Oryctolagus cuniculus: one gene and its partner. The protein of the gene in region 2 interacts with the protein of the main gene of each other region in a pairwise test. Links are inferred from orthologs where the notes say so. Each region holds a gene or a part of one and is shown on either strand. Other genes may lie near its edges.

What was found.
Region 1: the proteins of POC5 (region 2) and CETN1 interact in binary tests that used the Homo sapiens proteins (3 or more experiments, as listed by UniProt). The link is inferred for Oryctolagus cuniculus from reciprocal best matches to the Homo sapiens genes POC5 and CETN1.

The regions. Positions count from the first base shown.
Region 1 is NC_091441.1:57,199,057-57,202,462, reverse strand, and holds CETN1 (centrin-1), read right to left. Parts: upstream 1,734-3,406; 5' UTR 1,673-1,733; coding exon 1,154-1,672; 3' UTR 544-1,153; downstream 1-543. UniProt on the Homo sapiens protein: Plays a fundamental role in microtubule-organizing center structure and function. Plays a role in sperm cilia formation.
Region 2 is NC_091445.1:714,339-718,156, forward strand, and holds part of POC5 (centrosomal protein POC5), read right to left. Parts: intron 443-3,818; coding exon 266-442; exon of another isoform or gene 1-265. UniProt on the Homo sapiens protein: Essential for the assembly of the distal half of centrioles, required for centriole elongation. Acts as a negative regulator of centriole elongation.

The DNA of each region.
Region 1 (3,406 bases), on a different chromosome or scaffold from region 2:
TAACTTAGATTTAGTTGTGACCAAAATATCTAGCCCCTTGAATAACTTTGTTGCCTATTTCCAAAACCTTAGTGAAAGCTTCCATCTTGGCAAACAGATTATATTATCTTCCCACAGTCACATTATTTAAATTTTCTCTAACTTCAATTATTTAAGAGTAGGCATCTTTATTTCAAAGCAAGAAAGAGTTAATTTATAAAAGAACAAGTAATATTATTTACACACATGCAAATCACAGTGAATTTACTAAAATGTATAAAATAGAGAACCAGAGAACTATCTGTATCTCAGACACTCTAATGTCTAAAGTACATCAGGGGTCGGGGGGGGGGGGCTCAATTACCTCCAGTTATGATGTTCTAAGAACAGGTAGGTGGATAGCGCCTTGTAATTAAGCAGTAATGAAATGGCTAAGTTATGTTCTAGTGCTATAATGCCTAAAACATTCATTGATCTTTTCAAGAACAGATAAGTAGCTTAAAATGTATTTGACATTTTTTACGATTGCTTAAATGAAGATCTTACTTTTGTAAATACTCAAAATTGTTAGCTTAACGTCTTCATCAAATTTTATTCAATAGCCCAGGTACACATAGTGGTCCTGCACTGCTCACAGTAGATAATTTATACACAAAGAATCATACATATGTGAGGAAGCCAGAAAATAGTCTAAATTGCACAGTTCACTACCACCCACAGGCAAGCCTATACTTTGGTACCTTTCCTGAGCTCAGTAAGTTCTTAAATCGCCATTCCAGTTTCCTTTAAATCAGTAGTTAAATGATTATGCTAGGATAATGGCTTCAACTGAAGAAATCATATATGAAGCAAGATCATCTAAGACCACCAAAGAAGTGACAAGGGAACCCTATTTCTGCTCGTCCCAAGAAGCTGTCCTGGTTTTAGTTTGATAGATGTCCACACTCGCGAGGAAAATAACGGATGCACTTTAACCTAATGTACTCCAGGTCTGCTCTTGAGAATTAAAAACCAAAACTCATGTTGCATGCATCTTTCAAAGTCTGTAATTGAGCTAGAGGTTTGGAAATTGATCAAGACAAATTAGGAGGAAAAAGAAGAGCTAGAGACAGCCACTGCCCTCAAAGTGACAGTCTCACAAAACTCGGGCGAATGGCGTCCCGTGCCAGCGACTTTAATAGAGGCTGGTCTTTTTCATGATCTTCAGAAACTCCTCCTCGTTCACCTCGCCGTCCCCGTCCCGATCAGCCTCGTCGATCATTTCCTGCAGCTCCTCATCCGTGAGGTTCTCGCCCAGCTCGTTGGCCACGCGCTTGAGGTTTTTGAAAGAGATCTTCCCCGTCTCGTCGTCATCAAAGAGCCGGAAAGCCTTCAGGATTTCTTCTTTGGTGTCCTTCTCGGCCATCTTCTGAGTCATCACAGCCAGGAAGTCGTTGAAGCTGATCTTCCCCGTGCCCTCCTTGTCCACCTCCGAGATCATTTTCTTGATCTCTTCCTTCCTGGGTTCGAAGCCCAGCGCCCTCATGGCCACCTTCAGCTCCTTCACGTCGATGGTGCCACTTCCATCGGCATCGAAGAGGTCAAACGCCTCTCGAACTTCTTGCTTCTGATCTTCAGTGAGTTCGGGCTTCGGACCCGACTTCTTCCTCTGGCTGGCGGGAGCCGAGTTCGGCTTCTTGAAGCTGGACGCCATCCTGGCCCGGCAGTTGTTAACGCTAACGCCGCCAGCGCTGCCGTTGCCACTGCGCCTGCGCCCAGGCGCCCCCACGAGGAGACGCGGGATGTCCCCGCGTTCATCCTCAAAGCGGAGCTCTGTCCCCGCTCCGGCGCAGGGAGCCCCTGCCGGCTAAGGCCTCCACATCTGGGAGATCTTATTTACGTTAACATCCACAGTCCCTGGGTTTATAACCGACTTTCCAGGAGTTGATTCCCGAGCTGGCCAGAACTGCCTGTAGCGCGTTGTCTTCCATAATTCACCGCTCGCTGGTCTTCTTTACGGGCCATTGGTTAGCATCCATCAAACCCATCAGGTTCATTTGGAAGTTCTTCCTCTCTCTCCTTTTCCATACTAATTTTAAAAACATTCTTGGTTTTGAGGTTACTGAAGGGCAAATTTAGGATAATCAAGATTAAGTTTGTTCACTTGGCATTAAATATGGGGAAGGAGAAGGGAAAGAGAATATTAAAAGTCATACCATGTGTTCAACTTGACATAAATGGAAAGCAGATAAAATGGAAAAAGTTATGTATACAATTTGTAGAAGTTTGTCTCCTGACATTACACTCAGCAATAATAAAACTCCTGGCATGTTCTCAAATATGAAATGTAATATCCAAATGTATGATTTATTTTTGGTGTTTCAATTTGACTTCGTATAATTGCACTTGAATAATGGTCCTAATTTCATTTACTAGGCTTTTGATTCGGAGGGAGAGTTGTAATACTGTATTCCAGTTTTCTGGTAGGTTTTTTTTTTTTTCAAACTCTGGCAGCACATTACTCTCTTACAGTTTAACATCCAATCAGGGTTGTGCTCAGCCGCATGCTCTGGGAGTCTTCCCTTGACAGTGGACAGAACAGGAGATGATGCAGAGCACATTAGGACTCAGAATTGGCTCCTGGAAACAAAGGGGTCCTCCTGGAAACCAGAGGAGCAATTGAAAAATGGAAGCTTTTCAGGTGAAAAAAAAAAAAAAAAAGAAAAAAAGTTACCAAATAAGCCCACAGAGGAATTCCCATCAGAATAGTTGCATATGTCTTTAAACAATATTTTTTAAAAAGATGACTTTAATTTGTTAGAATTCTTTGTCCAAAAAATCTGAATTTATCACTACTCAATCTGTTACAACAGAGGAAACTTGGAAGAGTTTTTGTATGCTCAGCACCTAGAACAGTGCTTAAATGTCACGTAATAGGTGGATTAACAAATATTTGTAGAATAAATGCATAACAATGCTATCCTGAAATACCTTCTGAACCATCAACATAAAGCAAACCAAAAAACCCCAAAAGATTAAACGATGCTGGAAGCGCTTTACAAGCTGTTTTTAAAATTTGTGGGCAGATATTGTTTCCATGGCGTGTGGTATAGTTGTGTTATAGTTGTCTGTTTCTCCCTCAAAGTTCCTGTGTTGGAGGCTTGGTGGGGTGGGGGTAGGGGGAGGTATGGGGAGGGGGTGAGACCTTTAAAAGGTGGGGCCTACTGAGAGGTCTTTAGGTCATTAGAGGTGCTGCCCTTAGGAAGGCATTAAGGTAGTTCTGTGTTCCCTTGGTGGTTCATAGCCTGAAGCTGGCCCATGCAGCTCTCCTGCTCTCTGTCCAGTGCTGTGCTCTCACCGTTGCTGTGACTATGAAGTGACACAGCCCAGAGGGCCCTCACCGAACTGAGCCAATGCAGATGCCATGCCCTCGAACCTCCAGAACTGT
Region 2 (3,818 bases):
AAGTAAAAAAATCCCTGGCATGTCTTACCCTCTGGTCACCGGCACACTAGATTCCTTTCGTAACTGATATTTTATACTGTCTGGAAGAAACGTCTTTGAAACTGATTTCCTACCCGAGGAAACGGATTACAGCAGATCTGATCACCGTACGCCAGTGCAGAAAGACTAACCGCAACAGCAGAGCACACGCCACTCCGACTCCAGATGTCACCAGACCGTCCATCTGAACTGTCAGGGAGAAGAGTGGCCGCCCCCCGCGGCTTACCACTGTGACTGGGTGGTGCTTCTCCACGACCACGGAGCTCACGGGCGGAGAAACACCCATGATAGCCAAGCTGCTGTTGACTCTGTTCTTGGAGGCGAAGTCGCACTTCCCCGTGATCCGGGCCGTGATCGTCCTCCCTGCCTTCTGCTGTGCGGAAGTTACGACTCTCGGCACGTACTAAAAAACAGAAACAACCCTGCTGGTGCGGATTCACGCAAAAGGCCGATGGCTTTAGTTCCAGACTCGTGAAGAAAATACACAGGACTTAAAATCACTCCGTATTCAACCATCTTTAACATGAAAACCATCTTGAACATGAAAACAAGAAACCTACAAGGACATAAGAAGCAAAACATGACGCCACACAGCCCTTCAGCTCTGGTTTGCCAGCCGTTTCAAGGGAGGCTAGGAAGTGTTCTATAACAGCTCGGACTCCCGGGAGGCTGCAAGGCCTGGGGGCGAGGCCTGTGCATCCCAGCCATCACCCATTCCCGGCACTGACTGCCTCTTCGTCATGACCGTCTGGCTGACACCAGACCAGGAGCAGACAGATGTGACGCGTGCAGGATCAGTGTGGCAGTCCCATGTGTGCACCCTGGGAGCCAGCACAGACCTTGCATGTCCACAAAGACTGGCCTCCTTCCTGCACCTCTGGCGGCCACCAGTCTGTCTGATCTACCCTGTGGCCCGCGGCATAATTAGCATCATCGTTACGTGTATGCTTTGCCTTTTCCTTCTCACTTGATTAATAAACTTCTTATCAGAAAGGAGCACAAAAACCTGCTATAATATATATAATTTTTAAGATTAATTTATTTATTTGAAAGGAAGAGCAACAGAGACATAGAGATCCTCCATGGTTCACTCCCCAAATGTCAAGGCTGGGCCAGGCTGAAACCACGAGCCAGGAACTGCATCCTGGCTCTGGGGAGAGAGGGGAGAGGGAGAAGGGGGGGGGGGGAGGGAGGGAGGGAGGGGGAGAGGGAGGGGGAGGGAGAGGGGGAGAGCGGGAGAGGGGGAGGGGAGAGGGGGAGAGAGGGAGGGAGGGAGAGGGGGAGAGAGGGAGAGAGAGAGAGAGGGAGAGGGGAGAGAGGGAGAGAGGGAGGGAGGGAGAGGGGGAGAGAGGGAGGGAGAGGGGGAGAGAGGGAGAGAAACAGAGAGAGGGAGAGGGGGAGAGGGGGAGGGGAGAGGGGGAGAGAGGGAGGGAGAGAAGTGAAAGAAATGAGAGAGTTATCTTCTATCTGCTGGTTCATTCTCCAGATGGCTGCAATGGCCAGGGCTAGGCCAGGCCAAAGCCAGTAGGCAGGAGCTTCTTCTGGGTCTCCCAAGAACTTGGACCATCCTCCACTTCTTCCCAGGTGCATTAGCAGGGAGCTGGACTGGAAGTGGAACAACTGGGACTTGGGCCAGCACCCACATGGTTAACCTCCTACTCCACAGCACTGGCCCCCAGTCTTATTTCTGAGCTAAAACTCCCCTGCGTATTCAAACGCTGCTTAGCCACGTCTACTTCTATTCAAGCTCTTTAAATTAAGTAGCATGTAACATTGTTTTCTAGAGTTGGTAGCTCTATTTTGTGTTTAAAGTGATCACAGATTATTAAAATTTTAGTAGTATGACATTCTTAAACACTGGTTTGACAAGGGATGAAACAGTTTGACAAAACTATATTTGCAGCAATACTGATAGACACAGGCATTTCTTCTTTTTTCGGTGTGTGTTTTGATTTTTTTTCTGGTTTTAACTCCCACATAGAAGGGAGAACATATGCTATTTGTCTTTCTGTGTCCAGCTTACTTCATGCAACATGATGTCCTCCAGTTGTATCCACATCTGGATGCAGATGGTAGAATTTCATTCTTGTTCATAGCTGCATAATATTCCACTGCGTATATATACCACATTTTCTTTTGTCCACTCATCTGCTGATGCACACCCTGTTCTGTGTTTTGGCTATTGGGAACAGTGCTGCAGGTATCCCTCTGATACATGTTTATGCATTTGGGGTATGTACCCAGGAGTGGGCCTGTTGCAGCATATGGAGAGTTAGCAGCTCTTAAAAGGTGCAAGTTAAAGTCAGCGGGAGTACTGAAGACGACCACTTTCTGTTGGCTCGGGCCTCACCTCACCACAGGGCCATGGCAGCCCTTCCTGCCTTCCTGGGAACACTGAGAGCAACCCTGGGGCAGGCACCTGGTACAGCAGTGAGGAGGCTGTGTGGGTCCCCCACATCTGGGGCCAGAGCACTGGGCTCCAGCTTCCGGCTAATGTAGGCCCTGGGAGGCAGCTCATGTACTTGGGTCTCTGACACCCACGTCGGAGACCTGACTGGAGTCCCCAGCTCCTGGCTCGGCCTAGCAGTTGTGGGCATCTGGGGAGTGAACCAGTAAACCAGTGGGCAGGCGATCTCTCCCCAACTGTTTATGTGCCTTTCAAATAAAATGGAAAAAAAAAGTTACCAGGTGTCAAAGTGAAAGTCTGGCTTGTAGGCTGCTCCACCCTCTGAAAAAACATTGAGTGAAGCCGACAGGTCTGGCAGCAGGCGGCCGGCCTCTGTGGCTCCAGCATCACAGCCCGACCAGCTGCACTGGGGAAGGCACACACGCCGCTCCCCAAGTCTCCCCAGCGCTCTGGTACCAGCTGCACTGGGGAAGGCACACACGCTGCCCCCCAAGTCTCCCCAGCGCTCTGGTACCAGCTGCACTGGGGAAGCCACACACGCTGCTCCCCAAGTCTCCCCAGCGCTCTGGTACCAGCTGTGACTCAGGGAAGTCTCTTCCACCTTCATTCTGATTATGAACTAAAAGTTTAAGCGTGGGCTGGCGCCACGGCTCACGTGGCTAATCCTCCGCCTGTGGAGTACTAGGTTCTAGTCCCCCGGCTTCTAGTCCCGGTTGCTCCTCTTCCAGTCTAGCTCTCTGCTGTAGCCCGGGAAGGCAATGGAGGATGGCCCAAGTGCTTGGGCCCTGCATCCGCATGGGAGACCAGGAGAAGCACCTGGCTCCTGGCTTTGGATCGGCGCAGCGCCGGCCGTAGCGGCCATTTTGGGCAGCGGTGGGGGAAGAGCAACGGAAGGAAGACCTTTCTCTCTTTCTCTCTCTAACTCTGCCTGTCAAAAAAAAAAAAATTACTTGAAAGGCAGAGTGACAGAGAGTGAGTGGGGTAGAGAGAGAGAGGGAGGAGGAGAGACAGAGAGGTTGCTTTCTTCTGGTGCTTCACTCTCCAAATGGCCTCAATAGCCGGTGCTGGGCCAGGCAAAACCAGGAGCCAGGAACTCTGTCCTGGGTCCCATGTGGGTGCAGGGGCCCAGGGACTCAGGCTATCCTCTGCTGTTTTCCCAGGTACATTTTAGGAAGCTGTATCAGAAGTGGATTAACCAGGACTCAAACAGGCCCTTCAGTACAGGATACGGGCACGGCAGGTGCCAGGTGAACCTGCCTCGCCACAATGCCAGCCCCCAAACGGTATTTTTACTTTCACTACTGTGGTAGCGCTTCTGGTTACATTTTTCATTCTCAATTAATACTTAGCCACTTTGTGCATTAAATATCTG